4 linked regions of the Drosophila melanogaster genome follow. The protein of the gene in region 4 interacts with the protein of the main gene of each other region in a pairwise test. Each region holds a gene or a part of one and is shown on either strand. Other genes may lie near its edges. The genes, in order: CG30423, CG14042, Srg2 and Ugalt.

Region 1 (2,951 bases), on a different chromosome or scaffold from region 4:
TGCGTGTGTGGGTACATGGGTGTACGGGCTTATAGGTGAATGGGTGTGTAGTGCGCTATTTTTAGGCTTACCTGGGTAAACGGACATTTCGCAATGACCCAATATGCTGCACAGTAGCGTTGCAGCGAGCGCCAAGCTAACGGTGATTTCCAGGCGAGCCGCCATCTTGCACTTGCCACCAAATGCACTCCCACTTGCGGATTTCTCGAGACCTCAGAAATCAATTTCGAATGGGAACTATCTAGCACTGCACGACCTCTGCCACCACTGCCATATGGCCGGTTAATGGGGCTTTGGCTAGAACGACGACGTCGACGAGGGTTATTGATTTTCAACACCCACACTCGCACACACTTGCGAATATATCCAATTGGCAGCTGCTGGTGGTTGCTCCCCGAACTTTTGCACTTTCGCGTGGGCGTGCAATATTTCTGGCTAGTAACCTGCGCCAACTGCACTTCTCGAGGATTTTTGGGGGTTATTAGGTGTCCTAGCAAAGGTTATGCTGCACTCTACCGGGTGGTTAAAATGTCAAATGGTGCACTTTTCTCACAGATTGCTGGCGAAGAAGCTCAGATGGACATATGGCTGTGGGGATATATGCGGATGGGACTCGACTCCTGGGCTGCGTTGCTCCGCTGTCGACGTATACCGTTATACTGAAGAAACTGAATGAGCCTGGCGGCGGCAAAAAGCCCGAGAAGAAGCAGAAGCTGTGACGCAAATGTTAGGTTCGCCCCCGCGCTGTTAAATGTTGCGGGCAGCTTTTGAGGGCAGGCCGCGCAGCAACAACAACAACCAGAGGGGCACAGTAGTCAAAAGCAGCGCATGCGCACAGTGGGGCTGAAAAGCTCGGCACGTCCGTTCCTTTATTCTTTGAGTAAACACGGGCATTCATAAAGAGCCGAGACGAGGCCAAGGAGACTCTCGGCCAGCTAGCAGGTGGCTGCCACTCACGAATTCCGAAGCCCCGTCAGCCAACTCCACGCCCGCTTTGGGAGAACCCTCCCTTTCCTCCAGCTTCCTCGCTTGGGATAGGGCGTGCTTAATTTTTATCAATGAATTGGCAGCCAAAGAGCTTTTCTCACCGGCAAAGGACTGCGGGAGTTATGGTAGGCCGAATAGTGTATGTGTAGCATTGGTCCTGATGTCCGAATCGGTTGGGAGAAATACCCCCAAGTGGATCTCGGATTCTTACGCGAAATGATTTCGTAACAGATTATCGGGGAATACTCATCTTTTCCTTGCTTTCTTTTCATTGATTAGTCGTTGATAAACGGACTTTTAAAAGACATTTAATAAAAAAGCTTTTAAAAACTTAAAAACCAAAGGTAAGTCCTTTAATAAAGCATTTCATGGAGGTTCGGAGAAAATTAGCATATAAATTGAAAATACATTTAATTAGACCTGGAAGAATTTAAAATCGAATTTAATAAATTATTTTTAACGGTATATACTAGAATCGGTATATTACGTTTAAATAATTTTGAATGGTCATGTTTCGGTCATACTGATGAACTGGTTCATCTGGAACTACACATCTGAGTCATTTTTAGGAGCGACAAAGGAAAAATTATAAACAAATACAATGGCCACCTTAAAGGGTAATTATGCACAACAGTCTCTAGCAAATCTAATGGCTTACATTCTTCGCCTACATCAACACCAACTGGAACCCGCTACACGCCTCTTTTGAAACCATCACACAGCGTATGTCTACAACTACACCCACTCCTGCAGCCAACCGTCTGATAATGATTCCCCTCTTTGTGCAGCCTCTTCATCTGCGCCTTTCTTACATGCATTGGTGTTACCTTCCTGATCCTGGCCTGCGCCGTGCCCACGACAAAGATTTTCTATCCCTTCTTCGTTTTGCTGTTCTACGTGCTGTCAGTTCTTCCAGTCTTCATTGCCAGGAGGACAACTCCTGGAAATGAGACCAATCCGAAATCGGAGTTTGCTCACTTCCTTACCGCGGGAATGGTGCTGAGTGCCTTCGCCCTGCCCATCGTCCTAGCCCACGCATTGGTGGTAAGTGGACACACGGAGCTATTGGGATTTTAAGAGTGTTAAACACGCGATGTCATTCTTAACAGATCACCTGGACGGCGAGTATCCTGACGATAATAAGTAACATTATTAACTACGGCACCATCTTCTGGTACGCCATGCGCGATGACGAGCCATACGGATCCATGTTCTAGAGGGGATTTGTAGTTCACAAGCTCACTAGGCTAGTAACCGGCGCAGGAATATCACCGATGCACTGGGTCCTAGGGTTACGGCCATTTATCCGTAAGCACGCATGCTGTTCGCTTATCCGCAGTCATCAACAAATCTCATATAATCAAATGTATCCAGATAAACGCAAACAAAATAAACTGACGTAGTAGACATTGTCTGGTTCCGGTTCTTTTTGCTGGTTCGATATCGATATCTAAACCACTATTCCATAAGCAGTAATTCTCTCCACTGGCGTATCAAGGAGGGATTAGCTCTCAGTTTTCACTCACTTAATTGAACTGGAAATATTTATAGTCGAAAAAAAATAGCCTGGATGGTGTTCATTTGGCTGCACTGGAACTAGGAACAAGCATTCAGTTGTTAAATATACAAATTTGTAAATATCCTTGCTGGATAAATGAATAGCGGTGTGGCGTTCCTTTTTTCATTGGCGAAAGTACACGTCCTTTGACAAATGGAGTTACACCTCATTTGAGCCCATAACATGGACAGGATTATAAAATCTGAAATCAAGAAGGAACAGATCACGGGTATTCCTTCGGTGGCCCTTCATGGCATCGAGAACTCGATGCAGGACGATAGAGATGTCAACACTGACGTGGAGGAGGACTTCACGGAGGAGGAGTTGGAGCTATTCACAGATCAGGATTCAGACACGGGAGATTCTGATGTGTCGCTCACGCAGCCTGAGGCAGCGCGCAGTGTGC
Region 2 (5,496 bases), on a different chromosome or scaffold from region 4:
AGCAGGACAAGGAGATGTTCAATGCGGCCGACACGAACAAGGATGGTGTGCTGACGCTGGAGGAATTCGTTTTATTCCAAAATCCCGAGGAGCATCCACAAATGTTGCCAATACTGCTGGAGCACACGATGCAGGACAAAGATGCGGATCACGATGGCAAGATCAACTTCCAGGAGTTTGTCGGCGACGCAGCCTCGCACCACGACAAGGAGTGGCTGATCACGGAGAAGGAGCGCTTCGACAAGGATCACGACTCCAATGGCGATGGCGTGCTGACGGGCGATGAGGTCTTATCCTGGATTGTGCCAAGCAATACGGCAATTGCCAACGACGAGGTGGACCATCTCTTTGTCTCCACCGATGAGGATCACGACGATCGCCTGTCCTACCTGGAAATACTCAACAACTACGATACCTTTGTGGGCAGTGAGGCCACCGACTACGGCGACCATTTACAAAACATTAACCATCTCTCCGACGAGCTCTAGATGCCATTCAAAGCCCCATCGTGCTATAGTGAACCTGTGCTTAGTATTGTATTTCGTTTAAATAGTTAGTAAATTTATGTTTATTTATGTAAATTCAAGTGACAATTGCAAATCAATATCGCCAAATTCTTTTGAGCACTTCTTACGAATTTAATTTTCAATACTATTTCGTTTGTTTCGTCATGTATCAATTACATTATGTGTAGTAATTTATATAAACAGAAACAAAAATCTACATAAAGCGTACTAAATAATTTTTACTAAATTACACTTTGCTTTATATGCAATTTATGACTAGACACATTTTCATTTTGTTACATTACAGTACTTAGGCCTTAATTGCTGTCTGCGAATTTACAAAATTAGTTTAGCAGCGTGTTCTTTTTGACTAGATTTCACACTCGTCTGTACCGAAAAATATGCTTAGCTCTAGATTATTTTGCGATTTTCTAGCAAGCACTTGAAGCCCCGAAAAACGTTTTTCTCATTTCTTATATCACAAATATTGCACCAAATTGGCCTATTTTCCCACATTTTCGCTACAAATGAAGACAAATCAAAAGGTCGGACGACTATTATCCACACAAATTCCGAATGCTTAAACTTAGCACGCTCTAAAGCTACTACGAGAAATGCACACGTCCCAGAGGAGCCACTGCATCGTCTGGTAGTCATTGGGCACTCCAATATGTGATGGCACTAAAATCATTCACGGGCCTCATACAAATCGTAATTCATAATGCACATCTCCAGCTGATTCACCTGGGGGCGAGGACGTACTCTATAAACTTAGCTTACGTTGACCGGACACGATCCGAGCTCTACAAATCACACAGTATATCGTAGTTGTCTACCTGACGCAGTGGCTTCTTCTCGTCGATCACCTCGCTCAGATAGTCGGCGATGGGCAGCGGCAGCTTCAGCTTCTCCAGCTGCGCAGCGCTTCGTACGCGGCGCATGATCACCGCCCGACAGCGATCCTGTAGGTTGACGAACTCCCTCCTGGTGCACTTTAGGGTCATCTCCGTTTTGGCGGCAGTAGAGCATACGATGGGGTACAGGGGCTCATCAATCTGTTGGGCAGTTAGGCGAGATTCTAGAGCCTGATCCTTGGAGGATTGAACAATTCAACCGGACTCACCTGATCCAATCCGCGGAAAGCAACGCCCAGGCACTTGCCATCCTTGTAGAAGGTGAGTGTGCCCTCAATGCCATCGAAGAGAACGCCAATTTGGGTGGGTTGATTCTCGCGGAACCGCTTCGTGTACAGCAGGGCCACGCCCTCGTGCCAGAGCACGCCCTTGTGGGACAGTCCCCAGCCGTGTTCGTTCTCGCCCAGCATGTTCCGGAAGGCGTTGGCATGTAGCCGTGCCGACTTGGTACCGATACCGAACATTATCGAGGTGCCAAAGACGCGCTGCGAGACATGAAGCTCCCAGTAATGCCGTCCGTTATTCAGGGATCTTTTGCCCTGGACACCGGCAGTGCCCTTGCTCCAGTTGGGATGGAAGTGCACGGTCCGCGAGTTGGGTCCTCTGAGCACCACTTCCTTGGAGCGGTGCCGCTTGCTCCACGTCCAGTTATCCTCAACGCCATTGGGCAGCGGACAGAAACGGGGTGGCGGCGATGTGGAAGATGATGCATCCAGTGAACCGGACGACAACCCTCCTGTTACTCCTCCTCGTCGACCGGTTGGACGACGTCTCCTCGGGGCAATTGCCGCTATGGGATGGGGGTGAGCCTGCTGTGGATCCACTTCAACATCAGACATTGTGTTGCGACTAGAAATTTTTTCGCTTCTCAATTTGTATCAATTTGACAAAGGGAACCCTTCGAACTGTTGGGAGGGGGGGGGGGGGTTAAGTTTTCAATAGGGTTGGCTTCCTGGGGTTGATGAGCTTCTCCAGGTCTCAAAAGTTGTTGAAATCGTTCAAGGAGCGGCTTCAGGGGTGGCGTCTTTAGCTCGTAGTTGTTTGTTCTTTCGTTTCTCTGGTGGTTAACTATGTTATACAATTTTTTTCAATACATCTTTATAGCATAGTTTTTATGAAGGGTTCTTCAGTTCTCCAGACGAACTCCAAGTGGATGATTCTTTATGCAAGGATGAGACCAAGAGGCGTTTATCTACAAGTAAGTGGTTAGTAGGGGCTGTTGGATATCCTCCTGCGGCAGGTCCTGCAGCTCCGCTTCCTCCTCCAGTGGAACGTCCTCAATAATATCCTGATCGAAGGACGCCTCCTCCTGCTCCTGCGATCCAACGCTGGTCAGTGAAGCGTAACCACTGCTCAGGGAACTGCTGCTCCAGCTGGCACTCAGTCGGACTGGACGATAGCTTCTCGTCGGTTGCAGTTGCTGCTGCTGCTGGCCAAGAGTCCGCTTTAGCTCCCGCTTGATTCGGCGAATCTGCCGGAAATCCTGCTCACCACCGGAACCCCTCTGCCTGTGCAGCTGCAGCTCCTGCAGATGGAAGTGATGGCGACAGTAGCCCTGCGGACTGTGAGCACAAAATCGACAGGCCTCGGAATTGAGGCCACCAACGAGCGGAAGGATTGGTTCGAGGATGCGACGCTTCTGGCTGCGCTTCTGTTGCTCCAGCTGCTGCTCCGCCAGGCGCTGTGGCGCCTTACGATCGCCCACCGTTTCGGCCACCTCCTGCAGCAGGCGCACGTTCCTCGGGAAGCATCGGTCGTGGACGTAGAGCACCAGGCGTTGGCAGTAGAGGCACAGCGATTGGAACAGCAGCAGCAGGACGATAATCATAAATATGTAGGGGTGGTGGTGTGTCCTCTTCCTTTTTTTTTTTTTTTTTTTTGGTGGGGCGGAAGACTGCTGCTTCTTGGGAGTCTCTGATTTTGGTGGTGCACTTCCCGTTGGCTTTGTGGTCTTGTTAGTTTATGCAAATTTCACGCTGCTTTCCAAACGAGAGCTCGCAATTTTCACTGTTTTTTTTTTCGAGGTACACACATTTTTTCCGTCTTGCTGCTCCTCCACACCTACAAAAAGCAGCTCCTCTTATCTGGCTGAAGTTACAACTCCCACCGACGACCGCCTCCGCTTGCGTCCAAGTCACACTGGCTTCTGGCACTTTTTTTCCAACTCACTTTTACGATTCCAACTTGAATCGCCCCACAAAGGCCTACCCTTATTTTCCACGACCTGCTTCCAACCACCAATTGGACTTTGTGCGCGTGTGTGTGTCTGCATATCATTATCATATGGCTCGGTCCACCCCACTTTATGCCCCGCAAACCGTCCACGGCGACCCCAATCGTCATCGCCACCCCCTTGACAGCTAACCAACCCCCTCCCCCACCGCAAATCCGCACAAAGAGAGGCAATGGCATGCGCACAAGTGCACGAGGTGAGTTCGCTCTCATCCTTGGCTTGGCATTGCTTTTTTAAGGGTTCTCCGCGACGGGGTTTCCACCACAATAGCCTACCCTTAGCCCTGGTCTTTTGAGGAAGATCTTATCACTCAATGTTAGGGGTAAAAAGTATGCAGTATTTGTCTTGCAGGAAGTTTATCACTGAAGGGCATACGATTTTTTATCCTCAACAATATTTGCTCTAAATAGGCTTGTATGAAATTGTGGTCGTAATTTGTATTTATAAATTTTAGTTTATTTTAAAACGATATGCGACAAGTTTTGTATAGCAGTTGAGGATTCGATTCGTTCGATATTCGTTCGATACCGCGTTTTGTTGCATTGTTTCGCATTTAATCGGTTTCAAAAATAAATGGAACATGCTGGCACATAGTTTATTTTATACTTTTGGACATACGACCGAGGCTAGTTTATTTATTTGTTTCATTTACTTAACATACGTAACGTAACTTAGAAGCAGTTTACATTTGTTTAGAACATTAATTGGCAGATAAAAAATGGCATTGTGGTCCAGGTCGGTCGGTAATTAGCACTTCGACTTGTGGATCCGTTTTTTTTTCTTTTTGGTTAGATTAAGGAATTTGTAGCAGTGTTGGTTCGTCGGTGTATGTATGTGTGTGTGTGTGTTGGTTTGTTTGTTTGTGTTTGTGTTGTGATCGTGTGGGTGTGCACACGATTCGTTGGTAATTTTAAGGCTTTACATTTAGATTAAACTTATGCTCTGTGCTGTGGGTGTGTCTGTGTTGGGATTGGAGGTCCTACGAGGAGTTCTTCATGCACACCTGGCACCTGGACACATGCGACTGCCGCTCGCCGGCCTTGATCGTCTGCTGCTGTGGCCTCTCGAACGGCTGTGAGGACTCCAGGTTGTACATCCAGAAGCTTGTCATCGTCTCATAGAAGTGGCACGTGCCCTTGGCGCCGTTGCACTCGATGAAGGGCGTTGCACGGAAGTCCTCCAAACAGGAGCCAGGCGATTGCAGCGCCTGTCCACCGCCACCGTTGCCCACGGCAGTGTGCTATTATAGGAAATGGTTGGGTTAATATTAGCATCATTATAAAAGAACTATTTAAAATCCCACAAGTAGTTAGGAATAAAGGTTGAAAATTAAAACTATTGTATCAAATCTTTCGCTACGCAGTATCCAACAGATGGCGCAAGAGTGTCGTTGGAACGTGCGCCATCTGCTGGAAAGCTAGGGAAACTTCGGAAACGCATCCCTTGTGGATTTTGAAAACTCTCATCATTCTTCTATAATCTAACGTTATAAGTGTTCCGATACTCACCATGAGGAAACTGTAGCCAATCCAGAGACCCTCCCAGCCATTCGGACAGTCGGGCACCTCTATCGTTTGACTGTGCACGGCGATCACATTAGCCGGCGCCTCACAAACGACGCAACGTGAGATGTACTGGCGGATCTCGATGTTTTCAACGGGCATCATCGGAATGGCGGCGTTGGTTGTCAGCCAGAAGGTCTTGTCATTTCTGGAGGCGTAGTTGCAGACGTTATTCTGACCACACGACAGTACGGGCAGCGTTGAGAAGCGTGGCACACAGGATCCGGGGGATCCAAGGTCCTGGTTGTGGGCATAGTCATTGCCATCGACGTACAACAGGG
Region 3 (4,887 bases), on a different chromosome or scaffold from region 4:
AAATTGGGATTGTTTGAACTTTAACAGGAGTAAAAAATTATTTGCTTTCAAAATATTGTAATGATATTTAATGTAATGATTGTTTGTCATATAGGAGCAAATAACAGTTCGTTGGAAATTCCCTTCAAATAGAAAGCCATATAGTCAATACCAAATCAATACGTTATTGATAAGCTGCAAATGGCGATATTAGCAGAGCGTCGTATCAAAGCATATTCGTTGGTTTTATTGCCACTAAAAGAAGCATTGAACGGATTTGGTTTGTTTTTATAACAGTTTAATCAGGTAAACATACGTTTCTAAGGTGCTTCCCAATTGTGATTCTATTTTATTACCAATGTTAATATGCTTGAAATTTATTACGCTTCCACAAAAATATGTTTTGAATGTCTCATCACCTTATCATACGGTAGTATTAAGATAATAACTATTTATATGGCTGTTGTAAAGCATTATAACTTAGGTTGAAAAATATAAAAGCGAAAAAACAAGTTGGGCGCCGAATAATTTATACTTAATAATTTTATATTATGAATGATTAAAAAACAGTGAGTATCGTTATGTGGAGGAATACAGAGGCCTTAGACCTCTTGCACTTTAATAGTAGATTTATTAATCTATAATTCCTTTGAACATTAAAAGCGGAAGTTAACGAATTTATTGAACTGCTCCTGGGCACCTTGCAAGGTCATCCTCCTTGTCTCCGGCAGTGTAAGGACTCCGAGAATCACTCCCGCCAGGTACATGGCTCCCATGATGTAGAAGTAGTTGTAGCCTTGTCCAAAATTGAAGTCACAAACATTTATGATGAGGAAGACAAATATTTCGGTGATGAAAGTTAAACCGATAAAGTGTTGCTTAACTCCCATGGGATATGCCTCCGTCAGGTAGGCCGAGTTGGATGAGAAGGCCATACCGGCAAAGAACTCGAAAATCATTATCAAGACGGTCACTTGGCTCATATACGTATATACATTGTACTGTGAACCCACGGCAAACGACAAGCCGCAGCTTACGAGCAGGCCAAAGACCGCAGGCTTCTTTCGGCCCAAGGACTCCATGCAAAAGGATGGGATTAGGGATCCCAACCAACGGCAAAAGGCTAATCCTATGTACCAGGAGCTCGCATTTCTTAAATCATTGGAGACTAAGATCGCAACGACATAAGTGATGATCACAAAGCTGGAGATGCTCATAGCATTCAGGGCGCGCAGGTATGCAAGTCGCATGAAGGTGGGCAGCGCTTTGGAAATGCTTTCACTCTTTGACATATTCTTGTTGTAGGCCAAGTAGCGTTTGTGCTCCGCCAGAAGCTCGTAAGTTTCCTCGGTTAGCACCGCAGGCTTTTGTAGCCGACGCAGTGCGTCAATGGCCGCCTGTTCTTCGTTATTGGCCAGCATTAGAACCGGCGATTCGATGGTAAAAAATGAGCCCATAATAAGGGCCAAAACGCCGTAGATTGTGCTCAGCACTCCTTTCATATTCTCGGACGTAAAATCATTGTATGTCATATACGAAGAATATGTCCAATTTGACACATAAAGGATCTGAAGAAGTATACCGGTTCCAAAGCACAATTGCTCCAAGGTGGCACTGGCCTTGCCCCTCAAATAGGGAACCGAGATCTCTCCGACCAACGCCATAAATGGGGCAAATACCAGACCATTGGCAATACCATCTAGGTAACAAGCTGCCGTGGTTCCAGCTCCATTATTGTGGGTGCAGGCAATAACCAATCCACCGACGGTCACCAACACTGAAGAAAATTGCTGTGCGTAAAAGGAATTGATTAATAAAAACTTAAAGTGCCAACAGGCTTCCTCCGCTTACCAGAATATATTTTTTGGCCACCTTGTTGGTCAGCGCCATCGTAACCAAAGCTCCAATAATGGCGCCTATGAACCAGGCAATGTAATTGTGCTTGGTGGTTTGGTAATAGATTGGTCCTTGGAAGCCAATCGCCCACGCTATGTTCATACCTCCAGAGATAAAGATGAGACCAGCTGAAAGAGTATCAAATATATAGATTTAAGTCTGTCGAAGGATTGGTGTCAAATTTTAATCTTTTCAGTTAAATATTCATAACCACGTTGCCGTTTTGGCCAAAATAAGTAGGCGTCTTTACAATCTTCCTGAGATCACGACGTTTATACGGACAGGTTCTGATCTTGAACTAGAAAGTACATATTTTTCGGGTCGAAACTTTTTTTTATAAACTACAACTACGAAACTAATTTTTATTAAATTTTTAACGAATCTATTTAGTTGTAAAAATATACCTAAGTATTTTCAATCGATTAGGGTTGTACAACATCTTCACAAATGGTTTTAATGGAAACATAAGTCACTGGTATAAGCCGTTCGATTATCGTAGTACTAAAATAATTAAATTCGAATGCTTGGCTACTAGCACTTACGTCATCGTCATCATAATCTACTTGGGCTCTAGAAAAAGATTCATACTTCCAACACTCGAGATTAGATTAACCTCGTGGTGAACAACTACTCATCAGTAGGTGACTAAGCTGATCGATCTAATGAACTGAACTCACCTGCGCCCACAGCATTGGATTGAGGTTTGTTCTTTTGGTTGCGCTGAAAGCATCCTCCTGGTGGATCCACTCTGGTGTGTGGATCCCGCGGTGGCATTGGCGGTGGTTGTGGTCCGTATGTCTCCGCCGGTGTGATGTGTTGCGGCTGCCCTGGCTGAGGGTATCCTGGCTGTGACGCTGGTTGTGGATATCCCGGCTGTCCTTGTGGTGGATAAAAGCCTATTGGCGCTGGATACTTGTCGTTTTGCATGGCCAACGGCGGTGGGGCAAACTTATCGTTCTGAATTTCCGATCGCTTTATATCTATTTCACTCTATTGCGAAGACAAACTGCTCCGGTAGAGGTCGATTTGAAACTGGCTAATACGGGGGCTGGCCAAATGATATTTATGTGCACTGCTATCGAGCCTTGCCCAACTGATAATCAAGTGCGGATTCAATCCCTTATCACTAGGGGGCGGCATCTATTTCAGTAAATGCTTCAAAACTTAATATACGCGTGCCCGATAAGGACGATTATCGCAATGTTTGTGAATAATACTTTATGATGTACATATGTGGTATATAAAACTCTCTACAGATCACAGCCCTTTTGATTCATTCGACGTAATTAAAGAACCGGAGAACGGGTCTTCCCCTGCTTTTTCTGTTGGTATGACTGATCATAGTTATTAGGCCTGATTCATACTTTTTATACTCGCCATATAGTTATTAAAAAGTGGTTTAATTGCTCAGATAAGAATTTTAAGAGAATATTTTCTATTTAAAGTTCATGGATTAATTTTTAATTAATAAAAAGATAAAACGGAAAAAATAAAGAAAAGATAAGGTATAATTTTTTTATATCCTTTATTTCCCACTTTTGTTGAGTACTTAATGCCATACATTTGTCGTATAATATCATATAAATATGTATTTGCTGATATTGATTGTTTCTGGGAATTTATTTTTGGTTTTATTTGTTGGCAATACTAAAAAGGAAGTAATTAAGAAAAAATAAGTCATTATAAGGTATATTATCAGCGTGATTTGTTTTCTTTATCATTATATCTTTTATTGAATCACCAGAAAGGCACACCTGTATTGTTTTTTCTGGCTCAAGGTCAAGGTCACTTTTTTTTTGTTTTTAGAAAATTATTGCGGCTTCGTCTGCCAGTAGTATTGAAGCATATCATGAAGATATTCCAAATTCAGAATTCAGAAATAAGCCAGAATGTTTAGCCTGAATTACCACGTTTCGACCAGTCTAGATAAGATTATTGTTTCGGGAATCACCAACCTGATTCCCAGGTGCTTGGCCTCAATTTGTTTTACTTCCTGAAACTGTGGTCATAGATTCTGTCAGATTTTTTTTGGGTCCATTCGACTCATGGATATTGTACTTCTACATATATCCTCATTTGTTTGTGATCAATACTAAACCACTCAACCAATCAACACTCAGCGGCTGTGCAAATAGTTTATGTAATTGGGCATTATCGCACCTGATTAAAAATATCGTATCAAAAATTACAAATAAACTACTACTACTTTAATGCGCTTTAACAAAATACATTCTTAATTGTTGTTACATATAAACATTTATTTTCCCCCTACCCACTTATACCTAAAAATCCTTGTTGAACCACTTTGAAAACTTGAGCTGTGCTTCTGCCAAAGTAACTAGTCTAGTTTCGGGCAGGCAGAAGATTCCGAGAAGAAAACACACCATGGAAAGTGCTCCCATGGAGTGAAAGTATGCTGTTATTTCTGCGATCGATGGTAAAAAGCTACAGAGGAGCAGTCGTGCGGCTTGTTCCATTATGTATACCACAGCCACCATATGTGGTTTCATTAGTAGAGGAAAGCCTTCAGTGAGGTAAACCGCCGATGCACATTGTCCCAGTCCCTCGAAGAATTGGAGACTGAAAAGCATCACCAGGGCGGTGATCATATGAGGAGTTCGGCCAAATAAGTTGGCATATGCGATGGCAAAGGCTCCGGTGGAAAAGATTCCGAAAAGGGTCGGTTTCTTACGGCCTGTGGTGTCCATCAAAAGCACCGCAAAAAAGCATCCGCCCCACCGGAGCAGCCCGAAAACCACAAAAGGCCATGCATACAAGCAGCTGACCAACTGATTACCGGTTTCATAGAGAGCACTGCATATGATGGAGTTCAGGGACAGGACTCCCAACAATCGAAGGGCCAAAAGCTTAAGAACCGATGGATACCCTTTCTGCAGACTCGATCCTAAACACATTTCCCTGTTGTCGGCCACATACTGTTTGTGTTCATCCAATCTCAGTAGCATTTCACTGGTCACCATATATGGCCTTTGAAGGTGTCTCAGGGCAACC
Region 4 (4,762 bases):
TTGAGGAAATTCTCGACGCTGCGCGAGTGTCCCAGTGTCAAGATGATCTCCGACGAATGGATGTGCTCCTCGGCCTGGACGCAGATGTTCTCCGAACTGGTCTCCAGCTCCGTTTCCACCTCCTGCAGGTGGTCGAGCAGCGCTTCCCGCAATCCATGCTGGGGCACCGAGTAATCTACGCTGACGTTGCTCTCGCTGGTCTGCGTGACTAGCTTGTGAAGCGACAGCGAGGCCTGTGAGTCGTCCGCGAAGTGTTGCACCTTGGCGTGCAACAGATCGAACTCCTCGCGAGTCAGCTTGAGGATCCGCCTGGCAATGTTCGAGGTAACCGTCTCCTGGGGCAGAGCTGCCTGCAGGATCTTACACTGGTCGCGCACAATCTGCATGAGAGCACTGTCAAATGAGGGGGAGTTGTTTATCAGTTAATGTGTTATCCTTGGTGTGCCATCCCTTGCAACTCACTCGGCGTTCTGCCAGCTCTTGCTCATGATGATGTACTTGAAGATGTCCAGCGTCTTGTTGGTTATGTTGTAGGATCCCTCCACCAGCCTGCAAAACATATGCCACTTTAACAACCAAATGAATCGCAGTGCCTGCCAACCGACGACTTACCCCACTTTGATGGCGTGGATGAGCTGTGTGATCTCCTTTAGCGGCTGTTCCTTCATCGTGTCCTGGCGTCTCTGGTCTTTGCAATTATGAATTATCAACTAAAGTGGCCAACTGTTACCATTATTCAGTTAGAAAACTATTTACGAAATCGCCACACCGAGCAATGTTATCGATAGGCGGCAGGCGAAAGCGAATTCTAGTGATGAACTCAAAAAAGTAAAAGATTTAAAATCAACACGGAAATTATTAATGTTTTCATTTATTGCATTTGATTAAATTAATTTATTTAATCCCCCCAAATGGCAATATATTTGTAATGTTGTATTGTAAATTTGATGCATCGCAATTATCAGGTGCCGCCAACAGGTTGTTCATCATTCACTGGCTTAATTTGATGTTTTATGTTTATTTTAATTGTCTGCATATACTGGCTTTCATGACGTATTTTCAACGGCAGCTGAGTAAATAGCCAACCTAGTGCGGCAAAAATAAATTTCGCTGGGCTTAAAAATTTAACATACATGTGCATGTAGAACAAGCATGCACAATATGTATTTATGTATTTCGTCCATGAGTTTTCTTGTTTTCTACTTTCGATCCCCATGCTCTCTTGTTAAATTTTAATTTTAATTTTAAAGTCATAATATATACATTAATTTAAGCAATCTCAATGCCCGATTATTGTATATCTAGCTTTTTTTGCAAGCAACTTCTTTTTTCGCGAGTTCCGCCACAATGCCAGCACTGTGACTATCGAAAAGTCGGTCTCTGCTGCGAAAATAGCAACAAAAGCTGCACGCCATGGGCGTAGCTTGCTTTAAAATGGGGATCCATCCCCCAGGAGCATATGTAAGGTGTATTTACTTTACTGAAATGCACAATGCACTTTTAAATTTTGTTTGCATTCAATTAAGAAGGTTTCGCATTTATGACCCCCGTTGCAAGCCCAGGACCACGTCCCTGGCGCGCAGCAACAACAACCACATAGGCGGCGATAAAAAGCCGCCGCTGGCAGAAGCTTCGGGCTCTGATTGTTGTTTACGTGTCGCCCGGTCCAGTGGAGTCGTCTTCATTTGCGCTCTTCTGCTTTTCTGGCCAACTTGAAGGGAACGAACTGCCAAACGGAACGGCCCGCCGACAACTGATCTTGGCCAGGAACGGAGTCTTTGTGTACCCCCAACTACGGCGTTTTGTTTGCCTTCGGTTTCTATTTGGTTTTGGAGTTGAGACAATAGAGCTAGAAGCGTAGCACCATGAATAGCATACACAGTGAGTATTTGGCCTTTAGTGCGGTGGCGTTACTCCAGCGGTACTGACATGGCGCTCCTGCCCGCCCCCGTCACGTATTCCTATTCCCATCGCACAGTGAACGCCAATACGCTGAAGTACATCAGCCTGCTGACGCTGACCCTGCAGAATGCCATCCTGGGCCTCAGCATGCGCTACGCCCGCACCCGGCCAGGCGACATCTTCCTCAGCTCCACGGGTGAGTGCTTATCCAAAAGTCCAACAGGTCGTCGGGCTCAGCAGGTCAAGCCGGTTCACCGCTTAGCAGATTCACCTCGTTGCCCAGAGCCACTTCCACGAAACCTCGACGTGGGTCTGTCCACGCAAGCAGCAACATCAGCAGTAAAAGCAAACGAGTCGAAGAGGTGGAGGTGAAGGTGGTGTAGGAGCAGTGGCAGGCGGGGAATGGTCGTTCGGGTAGATGTGAAGCTGCCAAAGAAACTGATAAGCAGCCACTTCCGCATTTAGCTCCTAATAGCTTGATAAAACTGTTGGGGAACTTCTACCGCGATAGCTCAAGGAGGTTTGGTTGGCATTCTTGAATTACATATGGGTTTACATTTTGCCATTAAACTTTGGTTATTGCTTTGGTGACTCTGTGTGTAAGTTAACCGGACTTATTTGAAAACCCGAACAGCGATACTTGGACTTATTAGTATATATGTACATATATTTGATTGATTGATTGCCATTTTGCGCCCTCTTTCGCAGCCGTACTCATGGCAGAGTTCGCCAAACTGATCACGTGCCTGTTCCTGGTCTTCAACGAGGAGGGCAAGGATGCCCAGAAGTTTGTACGCTCGCTGCACAAGACCATCATTGCGAATCCCATGGACACGCTGAAGGTGTGCGTCCCCTCGCTGGTCTATATCGTTCAAAACAATCTGCTGTACGTCTCTGCCTCCCATTTGGATGCGGCCACCTACCAGGTGACGTACCAGCTGAAGATTCTCACCACGGCCATGTTCGCGGTTGTCATTCTGCGCCGCAAGCTGCTGAACACGCAGTGGGGTGCGCTGCTGCTCCTGGTGATGGGCATCGTCCTGGTGCAGTTGGCCCAAACGGAGGGTCCGACGAGTGGCTCAGCCGGTGGTGCCGCAGCTGCAGCCACGGCCGCCTCCTCTGGCGGTGCTCCCGAGCAGAACAGGATGCTCGGACTGTGGGCCGCACTGGGCGCCTGCTTCCTCTCCGGATTCGCGGGCATCTACTTTGAGAAGATCCTCAAGGGTGCCGAGATCTCCGTGTGGATGCGGAATGTGCAGTTGAGTCTGCTCAGCATTCCCTTCGGCCTGCTCACCTGTTTCGTTAACGACGGCAGTAGGATCTTCGACCAGGGATTCTTCAAGGGCTACGATCTGTTTGTCTGGTACCTGGTCCTGCTGCAGGCCGGCGGTGGATTGATCGTTGCCGTGGTGGTCAAGTACGCGGATAACATTCTCAAGGGCTTCGCCACCTCGCTGGCCATCATCATCTCGTGCGTGGCCTCCATATACATCTTCGACTTCAATCTCACGCTGCAGTTCAGCTTCGGAGCTGGCCTGGTCATCGCCTCCATATTTCTCTACGGCTACGATCCGGCCAGGTCGGCGCCGAAGCCAACTATGCATGGTCCTGGCGGCGATGAGGAGAAGCTGCTGCCGCGCGTCTAGCTCTGGAGGAATCCGGATCTGCCAACAGTATTTGTCCGTAACCCGGAGGCCGCCGTTCGGTAATTGCTCTGGTGTATCCGGTGCATCCGGTGTCCTTGATATTCCCCACGTTTTGTGTGTATATATATTAGGATGGATATTAACGTCTGGACAATTCGTAGCACTTTCTGTTGAGACGATAATTGTAATGTAAAGCAGCGATAAGAATACTTAATGATTTATGTAATTTAAATGTATTTAGGGTATTCACTAGCGAAACTAAAGTGTAGTTAATGAAATGATGCAGCTTGAATGCACGTTTTATTGATCATTTTAATTGTTACTTTGCGAATGCTGAGGAATGCCAGCAGTATTTACTGGACAACACCACACATACCGTGCCTATCCTTTTGTAAATATCCACTTGCACTCAAGTTTAGACTAAGATTTGTAACGATTTATAGTTTTCAAGTTACACTTGATGTTCGGCCAATTCACAGCCACAACTACTTTTGTTCGAATTTTTTTTTTAGAAGATCATATATATGTATATATATTTACTTGAATGTGCATTATTTATTCATTGCCAATTACTTTATTTTTGAGAAATCCTAGGTTGAGCCAGCCCAGACTTATATATTTGTATTTGAACTAAAGTCGCATTACTCGCACAGTGTTTTAAGAGTGATTCCATATCGATATGTTTCATTTCCTTTGAATAAATATTAGACGAATAAAAGGCGTATTTTACTCCATCAAAAAGTAATAACAACTTTCAACCCACGATAAGTAAAAGCACAACAAAGGTTTTGGGGTCAGTTTTTTGCTTTATTGGCCAAGGAAGGTTTCCTCTTAACTGAAGAACTTTAGTTCATCTATAAAAGAGTAAACCTTTGCCTCTACCCTTAAAAAAAAAAAACACCTTAATAAAAATCATAACGTGTTGCAAATTCAGCAGATACCATTCAAAAGTATGTGCATTTGCGAGTGTGGGATTACGGAACATTTTTAAAACTAAAGCAAAATCTTAGCCATCCGCCAGAAGACTTAATATAAGCTTTATTGGCTGCGAAGTGATGCGGTTGCGATGGCTACAGAAGAGAGTATTGATTTAAATTAAGTGTGGTACATGACATTAGGTGCTAAGGAGGTGGGTGGGGACGCTAATCTAGCCAGGCGAGGCCAACGTCATTGGATTGAGTCTGCAGGGACATCACGAGTTCGAAGACGCGCAG

What was found.
Region 1: the proteins of Ugalt (region 4) and CG30423 interact in a two-hybrid assay, tested with the Drosophila melanogaster proteins (one large-scale study listed by BioGRID).
Region 2: the proteins of Ugalt (region 4) and CG14042 interact in a two-hybrid assay, tested with the Drosophila melanogaster proteins (one large-scale study listed by BioGRID).
Region 3: the proteins of Ugalt (region 4) and Srg2 interact in a two-hybrid assay, tested with the Drosophila melanogaster proteins (one large-scale study listed by BioGRID).

Annotation. Positions count from the first base shown.
Region 1 is NT_033778.4:24,874,418-24,877,368, reverse strand, and holds CG30423 (uncharacterized protein), read left to right. Parts: upstream 1-1,503; 5' UTR 1,504-1,588; coding exon 1,589-1,604; intron 1,605-1,709; coding exon 1,710-1,710; intron 1,711-1,775; coding exon 1,776-2,031; intron 2,032-2,096; coding exon 2,097-2,204; 3' UTR 2,205-2,393; downstream 2,394-2,951. Other genes in the region: CG44247 (uncharacterized protein), read right to left, coding at 72-165; CG16896 (uncharacterized protein), read left to right, coding at 2,729-2,951.
Region 2 is NT_033779.5:5,035,874-5,041,369, reverse strand, and holds CG14042 (uncharacterized protein), read right to left. Parts: upstream 3,662-5,496; 5' UTR 3,249-3,661; coding exon 2,613-3,248; 3' UTR 2,260-2,612; coding exon of another isoform or gene 1,630-2,259; intron 1,562-1,629; coding exon of another isoform or gene 1,310-1,561; 3' UTR 1,251-1,309; coding exon of another isoform or gene 1,194-1,250; 3' UTR 552-1,193; downstream 1-551. Other genes in the region: CG31650 (uncharacterized protein), read left to right, coding at 1-488; SP555, read right to left, coding at 1,194-1,250, 1,343-1,561, 1,630-2,259; Col4a1 (collagen type IV alpha 1), read right to left, coding at 4,633-4,893, 5,162-5,496.
Region 3 is NT_037436.4:10,095,200-10,100,086, forward strand, and holds Srg2 (Sting-regulated gene 2), read right to left. Parts: upstream 2,917-4,887; 5' UTR 2,803-2,916; coding exon 2,553-2,802; intron 2,004-2,552; coding exon 1,831-2,003; intron 1,770-1,830; coding exon 636-1,769; 3' UTR 555-635; downstream 1-554. Other genes in the region: CG42826 (uncharacterized protein), read right to left, coding at 4,158-4,887.
Region 4 is NC_004354.4:2,700,624-2,705,385, reverse strand, and holds Ugalt (UDP-galactose transporter), read left to right. Parts: upstream 1-1,640; 5' UTR 1,641-1,865; coding exon of another isoform or gene 1,866-1,881; 5' UTR 1,882-1,929; coding exon 1,930-2,098; intron 2,099-2,610; coding exon 2,611-3,548; 3' UTR 3,549-4,262; downstream 4,263-4,762. Other genes in the region: eIF2Bbeta (eukaryotic translation initiation factor 2B subunit beta), read right to left, coding at 1-393, 463-549, 613-668; Lint-O (L(3)mbt interactor in ovarian somatic cells), read right to left, coding at 4,691-4,762.